2 linked regions of the Astyanax mexicanus genome follow. The protein of the gene in region 2 binds, or shares a complex with, the protein of the main gene of each other region. Links are inferred from orthologs where the notes say so. Each region holds a gene or a part of one and is shown on either strand. Other genes may lie near its edges. The genes, in order: serine/threonine-protein phosphatase 4 regulatory subunit 3 and ppp4r4.

What was found.
Region 1: ppp4r4 (region 2) and serine/threonine-protein phosphatase 4 regulatory subunit 3 share a complex: the UniProt entries of both Homo sapiens proteins name them as parts of the PP4 complex. The link is inferred for Astyanax mexicanus from reciprocal best matches to the Homo sapiens genes PPP4R4 and PPP4R3B.

What each region holds. Positions count from the first base shown.
Region 1 is NC_064432.1:16,151,101-16,161,834, forward strand, and holds the start of serine/threonine-protein phosphatase 4 regulatory subunit 3, read right to left. Parts: upstream 4,721-10,734; 5' UTR 4,438-4,720; coding exon 4,296-4,437; intron 1,920-4,295; coding exon 1,864-1,919; intron 1,749-1,863; coding exon 1,650-1,748; intron 1-1,649. Other genes in the region: polyribonucleotide nucleotidyltransferase 1, mitochondrial, read right to left, coding at 7,593-7,745. UniProt on the Homo sapiens protein: Regulatory subunit of serine/threonine-protein phosphatase 4 (PP4). May regulate the activity of PPP4C at centrosomal microtubule organizing centers.
Region 2 is NC_064408.1:77,292,504-77,302,618, reverse strand, and holds the start of ppp4r4 (serine/threonine-protein phosphatase 4 regulatory subunit 4), read right to left. Parts: upstream 5,082-10,115; 5' UTR 3,267-5,081; coding exon 3,162-3,266; intron 1,808-3,161; coding exon 1,734-1,807; intron 1-1,733. UniProt on the Homo sapiens protein: Putative regulatory subunit of serine/threonine-protein phosphatase 4.

The sequences.
Region 1 (10,734 bases), on a different chromosome or scaffold from region 2:
TGCAAACTGCAGAATACACGGTACAGGGGGTCTATAGGAGGAACTAATGTTCACAGAAATGTTGCCCCCGGAAAGTGTAGCTGTAGCACTGTTGGTATTAGCAACTCGCTACTGACTTAGCCCATAGCCTGCCATGAGAGTTTTGCTCTGAACACCTGAGAGTGTATAATATACACAGTAGGGGTGGGAATCGATTACTATCTCACGATTCGATTCGATTCCGATTTTGGGGGCCACGATTCGATTCAAAATCGATTTTTGATTCAAAACGATTTGAATTATAAAAATTTCTGCTTCTGGCTTATGAATCTTATTGAAAAAAAACCCTCCATAATATACACTGGTCCTGGAGCAAGTAATGTGTTACAAAAACAATAAAATGTGCAGGAATGTGGGTCCTCAGTGACAGAGAAATCACTGGGATATCACAATGACGTTAATGAACAATAAATAAATAATAAATAACACTGCTTTATTACCAGGCTACTAGCGGTGGTGTGTAGGTGACGCTGCTGGGCTGATGTGATGATAGCAGTGGAGCGCTAAAGTTCAGGAGCAGCTGCTGATTAACTAGTTAATTTAAGGTCGTTGTATTTCTTCAGAAAGGGGGCAGGAGGTGGAGAAATTAATTCATATTGTCCATTCCTTAATTCCTCTGTGATGAGGAGCTGAAATGAGCTCTGATTAGCTTATTGTTATTTTTCCGTTCCGCCTTAAATGCTGCAGCCCGCAGCCACCTGTAGCGTTATTTAAGGTGGAACTGGAAAGTTAGCTTGTTAGCTAGCTAACAGTTACTGAAACTAACTACTAGCGATCTTTTTTATGCTTGTTATGAAGCATTCTGCCATAAAACATTGAAACTACACGTTAATCTAAGGTAATATAGTGCTTGTTCTGCCATCTTACCGGTGATTCTCAAACACCTACGCTCTGTGTGTGTCTGGAAGACCTCGGTTTGAAGGGACAAGCGGGTTGCCAGGTCCAACAAAAATACCCAGCCCAAAATCAGTCCAAAACCCGCCCCTCAGAATCGATTTTGGGACATTTTAAATCGATTCTGAATCGTAGTAAATGAGAATCAAGATTCTTATGTGAATCGATTTTTTGGCACACCTCTAATACACAGGAGCTATAGGACCCGCCTGTTGCTGTTAAATCAACTGTGTGGGACTACTGTGCATTCCCTGTGAACTACAGCAGGGCTGGAAAGCAAGTAGTGAACCGAACATAGCCTACACAGCCTTTTTATACAGCCGGTGTGAAAAGAAAAAGCACCAGCAGGTATTTAGGCACAATTATTCTCACTTTTTAGACTGCCCATTTGTGAAATGTATTACAGTAAAAGTTTCTATCAGAGCAATATTTAACAACACATTTTAGGTATACCAATTTTAAAAATATAAGCTGCTAAGACTGTCCCATCCAGAACGTGTGCTTGGCATTTCTGTAAACCATGGGTAATAACCTCACACCTGTATTACGATAAATTAAACACAATTACACAATTAAAGGAAAAACACTGCTTTACATTGGTACAAACTTTGTTTTTGAGTTCTTCTCAATATACTGCTAGAAGATACGTAGAAATAACTACTTGATTTTCCAGCCTCAGTAACAGATAATTTGCAAAAACACATTTAACTGTTTACCTGACAGATCTTCTCCCAGATTTCATCACAACCTGCCTTTTCCTGGAAACTTAGGGCAAGATCATAATTTTCTGCTTCGGACCAAACGATGAGTGTATCCTAAGAGAAAAACATGAACATTTACAGAAATAAGAAGCTGTATAGATAGCAAGTGTCCTTTAAAGATTGAAACCAATAATTAACCCAAAACACAAAACTGTGGATCAACACTTACTTGTTGCTTTTGATATGCTGTATTTGGACTGATTTTGGACTCCAACAAAAGTGAGCCTGAAAAAAAAAAAAATCCAGAAAGCACACATCACAAAATTTACCCAAAGTTAATAAGAGATTGAGGAGTGGCACTTAAATTGCTTTGCTGTCAAAATAATTACATAATTACATAAAGATGAAGTGTCCCGTAGTAAAGATTCTTTCTTTGACCTGTTTTAAATACAACCGTCCACAGATTCATCACTGTTGTATATGTGTAGAAAAAGCCCAGTCCACCAGGCCTAAACATTTTAAGTGTGTAAGACCATTTACAAAGGGTGACTGGCTTGTCAGTGGTTAGATGATTAACATCAAAAACAACATGACTCAAAGGTGGCACTATATCCTGCTGAAGAAATGTGAACTTGATTAGCTGTTCCACATCTAAACAGACATCTATCAAGATTCAGTACATGCATCATTCACCAATATGAAAGTGAAAGGGATGATTAATTACACAGTCGCATGCTGTATATAAAATCAAAACAGATGAAGTGTATATGAACAGTAGGGTATAATCACCAGTTATTTACGGAATTTATTCAAATCTGAATCAGAAATTCAATTCGATTTCTGATTTATTTAGGTATATTTACAGTAAGCATAGTTTTTTTTTTTTACCTTTTATTACGTGAAGGACTAACTCAGCACAGTAACATCCATTTTTGTTTACATTCATTATAAGATTTAAATAGTATTATTCATTATACTTATTTACATTTATCCTCATAATGCGAACTTAAATAAATAAATAAATAAATCAATCCCAGCATTAAAAAAAAGCATAGGAAAGTCGTACTAACACATTGGGCAACACTCTGGATGACCTGTTGACTGCTTAGTAGTCTCTCTCCTTATCACTCTTTTAAAATCCTGATAGCCTTTACTCTATACTTACCACCTAATCTAAGTTAATAAGAAACAATGAATGTTTACTTGCCTAGAAATTGCTAGTTTAAGTCTGTTGTTATTGTACAAGCAACACTCAACCTTGCCTTGATTAAAAATGTCAGCATTCACGTAAAGGACCATTCCTTTTTTTTTACTTTAACAGGCTTTGTACACAACAACCTAATTATGTTTTCATTTGTAAACAAGTAGCACATTTAAAGTGATGTGGGAGGTATTGTTTTTCCATTTAATTTAAATTAACCTACTGAGATTTCCTCTGGTAGCTTATATAGTATGTAAAGATAAACAATAGTGATTACTATGCCAAAAAAAAGTAATACATTTAATCAAATTAATTTGATTAATTTTGCAGCCTTTTTTAAATAAATTGCTTGAAATACTTCAGTACAAACTATTTTAAATGTTTTGGTACTTCCAATTAAGTGTGGAGTTTAAATAACTCTTAAAACGTTATGAATGTGGACTTGTTTTTTTCTCATTGTTTGATGTTTGAAAGCAGTGCATTTTTATAAGCATTTCTACAACAATGTTCACTTTACTCAAACATATACCTATAAACAGCAAGATCAAAGAAACTGATTATGAAACTAGAGTGGTCTCTAGTGGGTACCTCTCTGAGATTAATTTTTGCAGAAACAGAAATAAAAAATCTGTAAATGTCAAAATATAACGAATAAAATCATTAAATTGGCTCTTTCCTGACCTTTATTTTAAAATAAATATTTTCCTAAATACAAATCAAACAGTTAATGTCCTCCAAACCTTTAGTTTCATTATGGTTGTCTAGTTTTTACGTCTGTTTTTAAACATACAGAATTAGGGTTGATTCATTTTACTGGCATGGAATTATTAAGTTGAGTAGAGAGTGGACAGACAGCTTCTCTAAGTGTCCTGTAGGAGATTTCAAATCCCTCAAAATTTTCAGAATGTAAATAAGTTATTTCACTCCAAAGGAGAAAAGGGGGTTTTGTATCACCTACACCTGTAGCCCTTACACGGGACAAGGCATTTTAAGAGGTTTTATAGGCGGAGTTAAACACAATGTATTCTATTAAAAATATCAAGAACTAACAGTGTGGCGGAAAAATAAACTGTTGTTGGGGACAAAAGTTGTGAGTCTCTGATAAATCACAATATTGAAATACTTATTACTTGTAACTAAATATGTAATTTGTATTGTGTGTAACGTTAAACTCCACCAAAAGCATGATGGGAAATAATCTCAAAAAGAATCTAGTTGCAGTCCTGAAAACAGTTAACAGTTATCATCAGTGTTTACTACATCTTATCCTGTCACTAAACGTGAGTCTAATCTTTAGACTTTATTCTGTTAAAAGCCTTTTCAGAGTCTTTTTAAAGTCGTGTAGCGTATAGACAGCATTAAGATAAATAGATAGCTAGCTAAACTGACTAGCTAACAAGCTAACCGTTTCATGTAGCTTAGCTTAGCTTAGCTTATCCTTGCTTTAGCATTAGCCTTACCGTCGGATTCAGCCCGAACCAGCAGCGATATTCCCTTCAGTCTCTCCACATAAGTAGAGGAGACGTGCCCGGTCCCTCTGTCGTCCCACTGTCGGTCTTCGTTGAGCGTGTAAACTTTAACCCGCCGCCTGGTGTCCGACATGGTCGGTCTCGGTGAATCGGCTCCGTGAACGCCGCCGCCGCCGCCGCTGTTGTTTTCTCCGCTGTTTTTTCCTCAACCCCGGGCTTTAAACTCTGTTACTAACCGCATGTTCCCCCACACGAGCTCAGAAACGCACTTCTCCACTCTCTACCAGCCCGAAGATCTCCCGCTCCTCATTTACCAGCACTCCGCTCACTAAAAACAACCCCCAGACCAGTTTGATCTCCAGCGGCCGTATTCTCTCACCCACCGACCGCCATCTTGTAATCCGATCTGGTGTTAGTGATGGTGACTCTACAACCAAACGAATCGTGACTCAGACAGTAGAATCGGTTCACAAGCTCCAACGAGTTAAACCCCATACAAAGCTCTGGAAAAAAATAGAGATAATGTGTGATAATGTAATGTATTTTTATAAAAAAAAATAATAGCATTAAATCAGTATTATTAATAGTATATATATATATATATATATATATATATATATATATATATATATATATATATATATATATATATTTTTTTTTTTTTTTTTAATGTTGTGATTTTATACAGCTCTTTAATATTTTCATTTAACAGAAGAGATTTTCTTTTTAGCTTGTTCATTTTGTTGCTACAGAATACCTTCCGAAATTCTCAGTGCAGGTACAAAATAAGAGAGAATTTCTCTTTTCTTTGTTTATTTAGACAGTAAACATAGCTACAGGGTGACTATAACATTGTGGATATGCCTTAAACAAAATAATAAAGAAAAAACAATAGCGAAACAGTAAATACATTCAATTAGACATTAAGGCATTAGCTGCAATTAAAGCATATACTGTACACACATACATAGCAGAACAAATAATATCAGTGTTGTCTTAATGTCTAATTAAGTTTATTTAGCTAGAACATGTGTATTTCTTCTTTTTATTTGTCATGAAATTTTGACACAAAACAAATGCCATATTTGCATTTTTATTCCTAAAAGAGGCAAGCAAATATGTTTTTTTGTTATTGGTATATTTTTTATTATTATCTTATTTATATCATTAATACAAAGGTGTATTTTTTAAGATTACCATAAATTACCAACTAAATTACTAAGTAGAAAGAATAATTGTATACATAAATGTGAGGTAATTTATGTTTTGTATTTTGTATAATAGGCCCATGCTATGTAATACTTTTCCAGAAATACTAATTAAAAGCTTGGTGTTTTCTATAAAATAAATATTATATTTTGTTAACTCAGTGTGTGCTGATGAAATCCAAAGTGAACGGAAGTGAATCTCTGAATCCGACGTTCAACTCATTAATCGGACAGTTCAAAAGAGTCGGTTCTGTGAGTTGAATCGAACTCCCCTTTTCTCCCTTAAAACATCAATCAAAGCACTGTTCCGCCGCGGGGTCTCCCGAGAGGGGCTACGGCAGCCGACTGGGGATCGGCAGGGAAAACGCGCAGGTTTGTTAGTTCGTTTTCTCATTATTATTAAATTATATACAAAAATAAACAATAAAAAGAGGACAAAAAAGGAACATCGGAAATTATTTGGGAATCCTGTAATATTTTCAAAGATTTTTTTAAATTTACTTTTGGCAAGTCTCTGAATCTACTTCAAAGATTTAAATGATTGAAAACCATTAAGTCATCAACCATTTAAATCACCATTAATTATAACTAGTGTCTTTGTATTATGATATAAAACAACAAAAAGTGTTGTCCAATAGAAGACAGCAAACTTGTATTCATGTCCCCACTTACCCTAATTACATTGCAAATAATGCACTCTTTTTTGCTGCTAATGTAACCATAGTTTTTTTTTATTATAATTCATTTGATATTTTTTTCTCAAAAGATAAATCAATTTATATGAAATTGCGATTTCAACACACGTCTCCCAGCACTGTGGTCTTGCAGTGTAGAAGAAGACACTTTAATAATTATTATTAAAATGTATATTATTATTTGTAGGAAGCACCTTTCACCTAAAATCATTGTAAGTGTAGATTCAAAGCCCCAACCATTCTAAACATTTAAATGAACATTGATTCCATGTCAGAATTTCAACACTAACCAATGCCTATTAGGCAATGTTAAATAAAGGTAGTTTTGGGAGGGATTTTTCCATAACGCTTTGTCAGGTAAATGTCAAAATTATTGCAATAATCATTAATTCATTAAATGATAATTATGGTTATTTTGACATTTACCTAACAAAGAACATAAAACATAATAATAAGAACATAACAAATATAACTGCCCAAAATACAAACAAACAAACAGACGAACAAATAAATAAATTAATTAATTAATAAATAAAGGCGCATTTGGTGCGAAGGAGGGCGGTTAACACGTCCGTTTTGGACGTCCGGAGACTTTTGAAATTGGGTGCTACCCTTTTATAAGCCACTGAGTGTAGGTTTATGTATAATGAATTTTAATATTTGAATTATTGGTGTATTTATTCTGTCTCTTTGGCAGGTCAAAAAGCAGTAACAGTAACACCTGTTCAAATAAAACAGACCTGTCTAATGTGTTTAAACTACTGCAGGAACCCCCTTTAAATGTCCCTTCATACATACACTGCAAGAACACATAGTACCAGCAAAAAGAAAATGCAAACAAGTTAAACATTTAATGAATGTAAAGATTAATACAAACAATATATCTCTCACCAAGAGGTACAATTCCTAAAAGTACCTTCTGAAATGTAAACACTTTAACACACTCCTAATGGCAAGATTCAGTGTCCTATAATCAGACCACACCTGAAAACATACTGCCTGAGGCACATGCTGAGATTTGCAACAATTCGGGTGTTATTTGTTTAAACTTTAAACAGGAAACATTTCCTCTAAAGGATTTCACAATTGATTGACATTCTTGACCACAGAAGCCAAATTTATTTTCCCAATTTTTTATTTGTTAAAAAAGTGCATATAAACAAAAATATCCTATAAAACAATACCCACTCATGAAATATCTAAATGTACTGGACTATGGTTACATAAATAAAAACATGAGATCCCCATGTTCTCTTATATCCGTTAATGTGAGAAGGCTGGAGTGAACCCCCCTCTCAATGTCTGAGTGAAGGAAACTGAACAAAGAAATACACTGAATTGCTGATACCCTACATGCCCCTAATACTCCTGAGCAGTCCTGCAGGTCAGGGGGAAGTCTCAGACAGGCCGTGTGTTGTTCCCATAGTGATACTCTGTTTGTCATTAAGAGTCTTCACCACTGTGGCTGTAGGAGAATGAAGCACTTTACGAGACAACCTCATCCTTCCATCTGTCGGGTCACGTCCAAAATATTTCACCTGTAAATGCAGGTATAACACACATCGTTTAAACAGCACATTTAAGCAGCACTAAGTAAGAATTCATATGTGAGAATTCAGCACTAATGCTTTAATTGTTTTACAATCTACATTAGTCAGACACTTACAGTGAGGAAAATAAGTATTTGAACACCCTGCGACTTTGCAATTTCTCCCACTTAGAAATCATAGAGGGGTCTAAAATTTTCATCTTAGGTGCATGTCCACTGTGAGAGACATCTAAAAAACATCTAAAAAAAAAAACATGAAAAAAAATGATTTTTAAATAATTGATTGTGTTACTGCTGCAAATAAGTATTTGAACACCTGCCAATCAGCAAAAATTCTGGCCCTCAAAGACCGGTTAGTCTGCCTCTAAAAAGTCCACCTCCAATCCACTTATTATTCTAATTTTGAAGGACCTGTTTGAGGATGTTAGCTGCATAAAGACACCTGTCCTGCCTACACAATCAGTAAGACTCCAACTACTAACATAGTTAAGACCAAAACGCTGTTCAAAGTTGTAGACCTCCACAAGGCTGGAAAGGGCTATGGGGCAATTGTTAAGCAGCTTGGTGGAAAAAGATCAGCTGATGGAGCAATTATTAAAATACGAAAGAAGCTAAACATGACTGTCAATCTCCCTCAGAATGGAGCCCCATGCAAGATCTCACCTCCCGGCATATCAATGATCATAAGAAAGGTAAGGAATCAGCCCAGAACTCGCGGGAGGAGCTGGTCAATGACCTGAAGAACTATGATGTCATAGTTTAAAGTCATGCATGGCACGGATGTTTCCCCTGCTTAAATCAGCACAAGTCCAGGCCCATCTTAAATTTGCCCATGACCATTTGGATGATCCAGAGAAGTCGTGGGAGAAAGTTATGTGGTCAGATGAGACCAAAATAGAATTTTTTATTCTTAATTCCACTTGACGTGTTTGGAGGATGAAGAATGACGAGTACCATCCCAAAAACACCATCCCTACTGTGAAGCATGGGGGTGGAAGCATCATGCTTTGAGGACGTTTTTTTTCTGCACATGGGACAGGACGACTACACTGTATTAAGGAGAGGATGACCAAGGCCATGTATTGCGAGATTCTGGGGAACAACCTCCTTCCCTTAGTTAGAGCACTGAAGATGGGTCGTGGCTGGGTCTTCCAACATGACAATGACCCAAAGCACACAGCCAAGATAACCAAGGAGTGGGTCCGTAAGAAGCACGTCAAGGTTCTGGAGTGGCCTAGCCAGTCTCCAGACCCAAACCCTATAGAAAATATTTGAAGGAAGCTCAAACTCCGTTTTTCTCAGCGACAGCCCAGAAACCTGGCTGATCTGGAGAAGATCTGTTTGGAGGAATAGGCCAGAATCCCTGCTACAGCGTGTGCAAACCTGGTGAAAAACTACAGGAAACGTTTGACCTCTGTAATTTCATGCAAAGGCTACTGTACCAAATATTAACATTGATTTTCACAGGTGTTCAAATACTTATTTGCAGCAGTAACACACAAATAAATTATGAACAAAATCATACATGGTGATTTCTGGTCTTTTTTTTTTAAGATTATGTCTCTCATATTGGACATGCACCTAAGATGAAGACCCCTCCATGATGGGAGAACTTGCAAAGTCACAGGGTGTTCAAATACCTATTTTCCTCACTATATATATATATATATATATATATATATATACAGGTGCTGGTCAACGAATTAGAATAATTTGAAATAGTGCAATCATGAAATTCTTTGAATGCATTTTTTGTGCAGAAAGCAAATCAGGTGTTCACCGCACCTGTCCTACTCGTTAGACTAATCACAGAACTCGTTACCTGGAATCTGCTCAGCTGAGCTTTCCAAAAGGCCCATTTAGGCCATTTAACTGTGACACTGTTGTTTTATTGAATTAGAATAATGGAGAAACCGTTTCATTGAATTAGAATAATTTTTATTATAATTACAATCATCACTTTCTCAGTATTTTGTGGCTGCCCCCTTGGCTTGTATGACTGCCTGAAGTCTCCGCGGCATCGATTTGACCAGCTTGTCGCAAGTTTCCGCACTCACAGCTTCCCAGGCAGTGGCGATGTTCTGCTTCAGTTGGTCCAGCGTAGTAGGCTTTCTGTCGCGAATTTTCCGCTTGACGATGGCCCAAAGGTTTTCAATGACATTGAGGTCAGGCGAGTTGGCCGGCCATGCCAAAACTTCAAGCTGTTTTTTAGTGAACCAATCTTTGGTCGACTTTGCCGCATGAGCCGGTGCAAGATCCTGTTGAAATATGAAGTCTTCTTCGCCGAACTGTTCCTCAACAGTCGGAATCAGGAACGTTTCCAGAACATCTTGATATACGGCAGCATTGACAGTCTTCTTGAGGAAGCAGAGTTTCCCTACACCTCGAGCGAACATGCATCCCCAGACCATAACGCTCTGGGGAAACTTGACGGATCTTTTCACGCACTCGTGGTTGTAGGTTTCGCCACCACGACGCCAGACACAAGGACCTTGGTCACCGAAGGAGATGCAGAAGCGTGATTCGTCACTGAAGACCACTTTCTGCCAGTCTTCAGCAGTCCACTCGCCGTGTTCTTTGGCCCACTTCAGCCGTTTCTCCATTTGTTTCTTGTTCAGCATCGGTTTTACTGCTGGAACGCGAGATTTGAAGCCAAGTTCGCGCAGACGACGGTAAGTGGTTGATCTGGAGACGTCAGCGCCGGTCTGCTTGTTCCACAAGTCGGTGAGCTCGGAAGTGGACTTGAACCGGTTGCTGACTGCGATCTTTCTCAGCTGCTTGTTGTCGCGAGCAGAAGTTTTTCGGACGCCGGAACAGTTGGTGCGCTTGCTGCAGTTTTTCTTGAGAGCTTTGCAGACGGAAGACTGCAGCAATTTTAGTTTGGGTCAAGCCTTGTTGGCGAAGGGCTTGAATTTGAGCCACTATTCCGGTTGAGAGGTCGCGCTGCTTACCCATGATTGATTTTACAACTTAGAAAT
Region 2 (10,115 bases):
TTTAAAAACACAGAACATTCAAGAACTGCCAAAACAATGTTAATGTTAAATGTTAATAATAACATTTCTGTTACTTTATTTTGCACTAGAATGCAAACTGATTATGGGCCATTATACCCTGTGTATACATACCAGTGGGATAGTATGACGCACCAACTTCATCAAATCTGTGTCATTAAAACTACATCTGCAATGTAGCTGCAATTGCCTAGAGCTTAACTGTAAACAGATAAACCTATCATCCAATTATTCTTCAATGTGAAAAATGTTACTTTAATACATAAAATATGAACATATCACAATATAACAGTTTTACTGAGATATATAATTTTACACAAAATAAAGGAAACAATGAAGATGTTTATTTTTTTGGTCCATGAGAACAAAAACAAGACAAACTTTCAGTGCGTTTTTGGCAGGATTCTCCCAGTGAAGTGGAGAGTTCTAAGGAAATCTGATAAAAGTATAATCCAATCTCCTGAGTAATCAGAACCAGCCCATCCAACTTTAATAAGCTTAAATCCTCCATCAGATAGTGATGCATCTCTGTTGTACCTGTGCATTTCAGTGTCAGTAACGCACTGGATTAAGAATGGTGTCTCTTAGAAGTCTGGTCCTCCAGAGACTGGCACACAGTTAACTTTGCCAGAGACATCAATGAGAGGCCACTCACTACCTGCATTATTCATGAGACGTGTACATCAGCGACGACACAGCATCCCATGACCAGCTGAGCTGTACGCTCTACATCAGGCAGTAGGCGATGAGAAGTCATGAAGCGTACAGCTTTACCCAAATACATGTTAGTGTTATTTTAGCTATGAACAAACAACTAGGGCAAAATTATGCACAAGAAAACAAGCCTGACAATCTATTAGAATATGGATTTTTGTATAAAGGGCTCCCATACTGCAGACTACACCTTATGGTATTAAATAACGACTATTTAATTCAAACCACATAATGTTTTACATTAATATATTAATAAATAAATATTTTTTATAATAATACAAGAGGGGGTGTAAAATGTCAAATTCTGCATGTTATACATGGAAAAGAAGGTAACTGAATTCATGTTTTCCAATTTATTTTCACATTACAAGTTCACAATTATTTTAATCTTTGGTTACCTACACTACACTGAGTTCAAATGGACCTGTGCTGAAGCTGTCCATTCTGTGTATTTACATATTATTTATTGTATTATCTGGAGAAATATGAAGAAAAATTATAAAATGACAGTTTATTGACCAAAATTGTACACCCCTAAACCAGTCTCAAGATTCTGCAGGCTTTCTGGTACAGGAAAAACACAATAATTAAACTTATGCTTGTTTTAAAAATGTAGATACATAATAATACTTCATTTTTGTATGATAGAGCACAATAATCTCAAATTATAAACAGCTAAAACCTATACCTTAACAGAAACCAACAAAATCCCTGTACGAATGTAGCCTTCACTTATTTTTGCTGTTTGAGTTTAAGAAATAAGAATGATATATGTGACTCCTTGTGACTCCTGATTCCTTAAAATCTGTCACTATTTTTTTCAGTTCTGAGAGCCCGAAGTGGAAATCAAGATAATTCAAATATGGCTATTGTGATTATTCTGTTTTATTATAATTATTATTGGCTTTTGTAGTGTTGAACCATTTTAGAGCTTGTGGTCCAAAAGTTCAATAAGCAATTTCTGTACATTAATATTGTAGAGAATTTGCCATTGTCTTTACCTGAGGAGGTAGACTGCCCGCTCTATGTCATTCAGATCTTCATCAACAGTTAACTTGTCAATCTCTTCTGCAGTCTGAAAAACATAAAAGGATATATACATGCATAAATACATACATAAACAAATATAATAAAAACATATTGATTGATCTTAAAATCTTGAACTTTATTTTTACTTGTACTAAACAGACAGTGTTTAAAATAACCGAGTATATTTAATGGCTGGCAGACAACAGGGCAGATATGTCATGTAATCCTTTGCACACACAGGCGGCCTTGAGTATCTCACGTCAAAATAAACCTATGCTTCATAAGAATCTTTATATGAAATAGGTGGATGGACATCAACCAATTCCATTACGGCTTAAAGATGACTCAGCCAAATGTGTGAGGGGGTTTGCAGCGAGGCAGGATGTGAAGCACGATGGACTGCGTGGGAAGAAAGTGTGGGGGACGGGAGCCATGTGGGCGACGAGTCTATTACTTCAGGGCTTCTCTCATTAGCCGAAAAGCTTCTTGCAGGAACCTCCCTACAAAAAAATCGAGCATGGGTAGAAAACACCCGCCCTCCTCGTACGCAACAAATTCCTTCCATCCGGTGTGTGATAAGCCTATATTCGGGCAAGAGAGGATGAGAGTAATCTCATCTTCTTCATTCTGCTGCTGGAGGTAGAGCAGCTTTCATGGCTTGTGGCGTATAGGATAATAAATACAGCTTTACACATCTAGCTAGCTACATAAGTAGGAATGCTGTTATTGGGCATGGTAGAAAGCCTGTGAAATCTGGTAGACATACTGCAGTGGAGTGGCGTGGAGGAGGCAAGGTAGGGATGCGCACAGCTGACAGAAACTGCGTCACTCTCTCTCTAAAGCGATGTGGGCAACCCCCAGCCTCCCTACCAGCAGCAGCAGCAGCAGCAGCGTCTAGCCTCCTCCACAGTAACTCCTCACATACCGTGCTTCTTCTCAATGAGGAGCAGCAGCAATGAATTTACCTTAGAGCTAAAGAATAATAATAATCTAGTATCTGAAACAGTTTGGGTAGGTGTTTAACAGAACAGAAGGGCACATGAAGCAAATCAATGACCCATCTGAAGCAAATCAAAATCCACCTGTTTCTCGCCACAGAGAATAAGGATAGCTAGTTATCACTATTTCATTAGGGATTAGGGGATCAAATGATGTTAAGGTGAGCTTGTTAGCTTAATTTAACACACACGCCTTCATATTTATAATACACAGCCTGCCACTTAGATAACGCTATACATACTCTCTTACATAAACTAAAAAACAGGTTCAACCTCAAGCAATTTCATGGTTGCTCAATAAAAAGAACATGATAAACCCCTAACTGAAAATGAATAAATGATTGTTAGCTAGTTATGTTGGCTAGGTGAATGTAGTTGAGATAACTATTTAACTCTCGTTACCTTTAGGCTCCTGCGTATAGGTCTCTCGATGAACGTGAGGTCCTGCAGGTCATCTATCTGCCCAAACAGACCGGACTGGCTAAGAGTCATTTTGCCGACAAACATCTGGTCCCGGTTTGGTTTGGTGCTGTTTATGGATGTGATGGAGAGAGAAGAAGTCCTCTCTTGTCTGTTACAGCTCCTCAGTCATGACTGCAGGTCCTTAGCTAAGTCTTAACGCTGATTCGACTTTTCCTGGGAGAAGAAGGAGCTGTTCCTCCCACGACAAGAAAAAGAAGAAAAACAGTATCCCTCCTTCAGGTTATAGCAGGACTTAGCTAGGTTAGGTTAGATGGCTGGCTATAACTAATTCATCGGGTGGTGGTGGTGGTGCTGCTCCTGCTGAAGATGCTCTGCTGTGTTCAGAAGCCTCTAGTCGTATCCAGTCGGGAAGGAGGTGGAAAAGCACTGGCGTTGGCAAAACCACGCGACGCAGAGCTGGGATTCCCGTGAACGAGGGATGCTGTTGAACTTTGTGAGGAATATGGGTGGCTGTGCAAAGGCTAGTTTTCCCATTGCCGTAGCTGTCACACACTTACATCCACACACATACGGGTGTTCTGTCGATTTGTGCTACCCCGTCAAACCGTGCTACCCAAGTGAGTATTTAAACGCAAAAATACCAGATAAAAAGCACCATATTTAAAAATGCACGCTAAAAAAGTCTCGGTATGATTTTTTTTGAAAGTCTCAATCAATATATCAGTTAAAGGAAAAGTGAGTAGAGTAGAACCAGTTTTTATATATTTTTATAGTCTTATTATTACTTTTATTATTAACTGCCATTTACACATTTGCAATACAAATTCAAATAGAGGCAGGGCGATTAAAAACAGAATTACCGGAAAAACACATGAAAACTTACATTAAAACAAAAAAAATGCAGATCTGCGCTTGCGCACTGGTGTAAGAAGCACATATAGAAGCATAACACAACTTGACAGAACACCGGTCACACTTATACACAGCCGATGAGAATGACTGGCTGGCAGGCTGAGGGACTAAGTGGCGGGCGACGTTTGCCTTAGATAGTTAACTAGCTGTTAGCTAACTAACTAACTAGCGTTAGCTTATTAACCTACCTAGCCTTCTCTGACTAGCTAGTTAAGCTACCTAACTAGCTAGTTTAGTTAACTGCAGGCCAAACCATCACTACAAGCCATAAGAACAAACCTATCAAACCCAGCTAGCTAATTAACTAAGCTAGTTAACTAATTAATTACTATCAGACGTGACGCGTTCATAAAGTCGTTTATAAAGTCGATAGTCGTTCATAAAGTCCAAAACCCAACCGAAAAAATCGTTAGTGTGAGGCTAAAGCTAGTTAAAGCTCGTTAGATAAGCTACCTCTTCGACGTGAAAAGCCTTAAACTAGCTGGTACAGACAGTTAGCTAGCTATAGCTAACCCAGCTCTTACATAAATTCTGTCGGTTAGCTATCTTAGCGTTATTTAGCTCCAGCTAACCTAAAGCTAAGTTGATCATTCGAGGCAGCAGCCCGTCCACTCACTCACGACTCCGCCAGTCTCCGAAACGCTACGAAAACCTCTCATTATAACCGTCCCCCGCCGCCCAGCTCTGATCACAGTAATGTCTGAAATGCGCTAGATACGCTCCGTGTCCGCTCCGCTGTACACAGCGCTGGTTTTCCGACGTTAAAAGAGCTGGGAGTAAAAATTGTGCAGCCAGAACAAACCGCTCCACACCACGCAAACGCACTGCACCAACTCAGCCGGTTGCCATGGAGACCGCATGCCACCGTAGTGTAGAGCAGCTCAGGCGCGTCACGGCGCGCGGACTTCAGCTCGTCATCAGCCCGTGATGATGACCTGCAGAGAGAGCACAAAAGCCGTGGACACAGAGAAAAACACGCGTAAACAGGAGTCTGATGCAGCACCAGAGAGACGTAAAAGCAGGACTTCTCCTCCTGCATAAACTCTGACCAAAACTTAGCTCCTCTCCTATTGGACAGTTCTGACTTCTGACGTAAAGGGATGGTTCACCGAAAAATCCCAAATTTATGCAGCAATCACAATAATCACACCCCTTATCACAGATATATATACTCTTAAAATACAACAAATTACTGTAATATGTAGTTTCTTGATTGCATACAAAAACGAGGTAATTGATCTAAAAAAGAACATCAAGAAAAACTAAAGCAGTTTTTACTCACTAGGTCATAGAACAAATTGCATTTTCTGCATCTACTGTGTATCAGAAGTACTCTACACCAGGGGTTCTCATCCGGTCTCAGCCAGGGACCCACATTTTCTCCTTGTCATTGAGTCCCAAACCACATTATATAGAGTACAAACCAAAACATTTTTGAAAATAACTTTCTAAAGCCCATTTATACATACATATGCCTACAAAGTGAATTTAAGAACTTTTTTTAAGAAACTGAGGAGGAACCTGACAGGTTACTACAATAAAATTAATAAATTAGACGTTTTACTTCTCTGCATACCTCTACTTTCAGAGTACATTAGTTAGAAACTCTCTTTTTTCCCAATATCAAAGATGAGTGCAAAATCAGATGAGCAAAAAGTATTTAAATTAGTCATTATATATTTTTTACAAGCTATCTGCACTTCTAAAACAGCATTCACTCCACCTGGTATATCTATAATCCAGCACATCTTAAAGAAGTGGGCACACCCCGGCACATCTAAGGCGGCCAGTACAGTATTCAGCGCATTCCAAAGCAGCCAGCACTTCCACTGGCACACAATAAAACTGGTGGCATACCTAAACCAGCACACCCAGAAAGCTGCATGCAGACCACCCTTCACATCCCAATGTAGCCAACAGACCACACAGCACATCTTGAAGCTATCGGTACAACAAAAGAACTGGCTTGCCATTTTTATATATTAAGTTTTTATTCCCTCTAACACACACACACACACACACACACACACACACACACACACAAAGTCTGTGTTGAGCTTACAATTATCTGTAACTGTACAGGGAAAAAAATATTTAAATGTATTATTTACATGTATTTCTATTGAGCCATTTATAATACAAAATTTGCATGTATAACCTTAAGATTGTGTAAGGAACAACTGCCAGATTCAAAGTTTAAATACTGAAAAATATCAAAAATAGACACAAGCCTCAGGGTATTTTCTGTGACATTGTACTGTAACATAATGTAATATAAGCTTAAAGAGCTTGTTCCAGGAGTATTGTAAACTTTTTGTGGTGCAATGGAACTTTGTTTTGTCTTGTAATTGTAATGAAATTGCGCCACCTGCTGTCCGCATTCACGCCACACACGCATTATTCTAATATTTAATTTTCTGGACGTTCCTGCCCACTTATATTTTTTAATGTTTATTGGGTAAAAAGTCATAAATCATGTTTTAAAAAATCCGGTCTTTAAATCTCTCTTCATCTCTTCAATATGCAATATCCAAATCAGTAACAAAACATATTAAAAGTTAATAAACTTCTAGTGAATGAGAAAAAAATGCATTGTTTTAATGTCCTCAGTATGACATTAATATGTGGCACTTCATGTGTGCCTTTTAAATGTAAAAAAAACAGCATATTAAACATTTGTGAAGAAACTTTTTTGCCAATCCTACAAAATAGCAATTTCTAGCCTCGTTCTAAAAACCCTATTTTGGATTAACACTGTGTGTTATTTTAAGGTGATAAAATGCAAACAGGAATGACATAATTTGTATTGGTGTAACATATTTTATTCATGTGTAGACATGAAAAACACCTAAATAGTGGTATAAATAGGGACAGAGGTATTCCAGAACCAGTATTAGGACCAACTGACTTATAGTTTAAAGACTGCAGTATGGTACTGCAGCAGTGATGAACATCCTAATATTAATCCTCTTCATTTCCAAAAAAATAAGCACGAAAAAATTTCAGCATGAAGTGTGCCTTCGTAATTGCAGTGATTACAGTAGGTACATTATCTGTTACCAGTTTGGGCAGGGGAGAGGGGAGGGCATGCTTATTTAAAGACAGTAAAACAACACTCTTCCAGTGAGGTTATATAGGTCATGTATGTAAACTTATCCTTTGGTTCACCATGACTAAGCAAAACCTACCATTAAGCACTAGAGCTTTGATGGTCTTTTCTCTTATAGGTTAAGCTGAATTGAGTAAACATCTTTTTGTAACTGAAACTGGGGAAAAAAGTGAACAGTGAAGTAAGATCTCTGATTCTTTCTGTCTATCCATCTTTCTGTCTATCCACCTCTCTGAGAGGTAGTGGTTTTATCCACAATTTCAACAGTATTTTTGTGAATTTATGCTCTATTTGAGGTCTGAAAGCTCATATTTTAGCCATTTCACATTTTCTACAAATACATGCTCTAAATGACAATTTTTTATTTGGAATTAGGGAGAAATGTTGTCTGTAGTTCTGTGTCTGTGACCCAGTGGGTTTCCCAGGATCCCTCCAAGCTGTCCTAGTATGACCCCTTCTTTGCAGGTCACTCTAAACACCGTCTCCACCACAGCCGTGTGTGAAGACATGGGTAAACCTTTGGAACAGATGTGTGTAGGACTGCATCATGATAACTGATGTTTAATTAATTTTACATTTTCTTTTTAACATAAATTAATATTGTTTCTAACCTCTTTGCTAAGGTCTGTTATTTTGGATGTGTACTATTTATCTTAGACTGAAACATAAAGACAGGGTTCAAATGTGTCAAGTGTTTGCATATAAATGTAAACTTTGGCAAAATATGTATTAAATGAATTGAAAGAGGGCATATGTAATGATATAACATATTGTATCCATTTACTGACCCATTTACATTGATATCAATTCAGTATAATAAGTATTAGGTATTTATGTGGTAGAACAACTTTAGAGCGCTTATTCACAGCTTATTAATTTGCACTGGCATAGAGGGCAGGGGCAAATATTAATTACAGTGCAAACTTATCTGACACCAAATACTGTACTCATCCTGACACCTGTTCTGTTCTGTTACAATAAAGTTTATGCCAATGTATTGCTTATGTCGCTAATGGATTGGTATGGCATTACATCACACCAGCCTATTTGCTTTACTTGCTGTATATTTCTATTTTAACAATATGGGGGTAATAAGGACACTCCCACATGTATTGCTTCTTAATATGTCAAAAAAATAAAATTAGGTGCAGCACATCAGCTACAAATTATTAGAAACTTTCTAGAAAGGATTCTGGATGAGTCTGTCTTATTTAAACGTTTGACATTAGTTTGGGTATTTTGATTGTTGAGTGGATCACCCCAGCCAGATCCAAAGAGCATTCTGAGGCTTGAGCTCACATGTCTGTGCATACTTGTTGCATTTGTTAGTTTGTAAGTTTTGTTATTTTACTTACCCTGAAACAAAACATTTTTATTTTAACATTACATTTACATTTAAAATATTCACTTCAGGCTACTGTATCAATTTTCTACACACATATTTCTGTCATATACACATCATTCATTATGAAATCAAAAGTGGTTCCTATATTTCTGTAATTACCCCCTCTCATTTAAATTTAGCTTTTATGGTTTCACATGACACTTAAAAATATATTTTTAAATTCATGTGAGATACATAATTTTTCTATCTTCCATATACACATAGTAATATGAAAATCACAGCAGGATGGGTGCTGTTGACCACTGGGTGAAATGTTTCTTCATGACCCTGCTGTTACAAATGTCGTGAAGTGTTGGCAGAGTACACCTAATGACCTCTGAAGTTCTGATTATGCACTGGGGTCTGTCTTCTTCTTGTAAGGTAGATGATCCAGAGCAAGTGGTTATAAATTATTTTAAAATAAACTCAATGAAGGACTGGAAGGAAAAGACCTGGTGCCAGTTTGAATTCTTCAGCAGCAAAAAGAAAACCCCAGAACATTTGCAGCATGAATTCACATATTAAGTATTTAAATTGTGTTTAGTGTTTAACCTGTAGACTCTGAGTGTAAGCGCACATAAGTACAGTTCTATTATTATTAACATCAGTTCCAAAAGCCCTACACTAGAACCTTGTGGGACTCCACAATTCCCACAGGTCTCTGCATTAGGATTAACAATTAAATAATTACCCTAGGGCTCAAGGGTATGTCATGTTCACTCCAATTATTTCCCCCTGTCTCAAGCTTTCCAAGATGTCTTAATTTGCGTACTGCATAGACCAGTAACAATAATTCATAATTTGCAGATTGCAAAAGCAAGGCCGAACTAGTAAAACTGGTGAGTGGTTGTTGGACGTTTTAGTTTGATCAAGGGAGGCATGTAGTCTAAAAAGTTTAAGAACCACTGGAATAGAGAACCTGTTAAACTACATGCAAATCCAAGTGATGCTGACCCACACCCTTTACAGTGAGCCAGCACTTGTACTATGTGGACCTTTTTTTTTTTTTTACCACAGCTTCGGTTACAGACATTTGAGTCACTGACACTGTAAATATGAGAAACATCAAAACAGTTGCTTGCTTGCAACATTGATGTTTTGATGAAGCATTCCAAGTAGTGAATTGACAAAGTCACTTCAGCTCTATAAGTCAAACATATTACCTTAAAAACTTTAGTAGAAAGTCAGTTGAACACAGAATTTTACAGCACTGGGGCTCCTGAGTGTTGCATTGACCTCAGCAATGACCACATCACTGGGAGAATGTCATTGCTTTCTGTAAAATCACTGTCAAAGGGTGGCTATAGGATGGCCCTCCCTCTCCTCACATCACTCTGCTTGAACATAGTCTGAAAATATGCAGTATCAAGCATCCTTTTATTTGAAGGAAATGCATTCCAGCTTTCACCCTCCTGACACTGGTAGCAATGTCTGATAGTCCAAGCTAATGGTAGGAATTTAAAATGGCTAAACTTTGGGTTTAAAATGTAAAGAGTTGTCTTGGTTATGGGGGCTCTAAGTGGCCCAT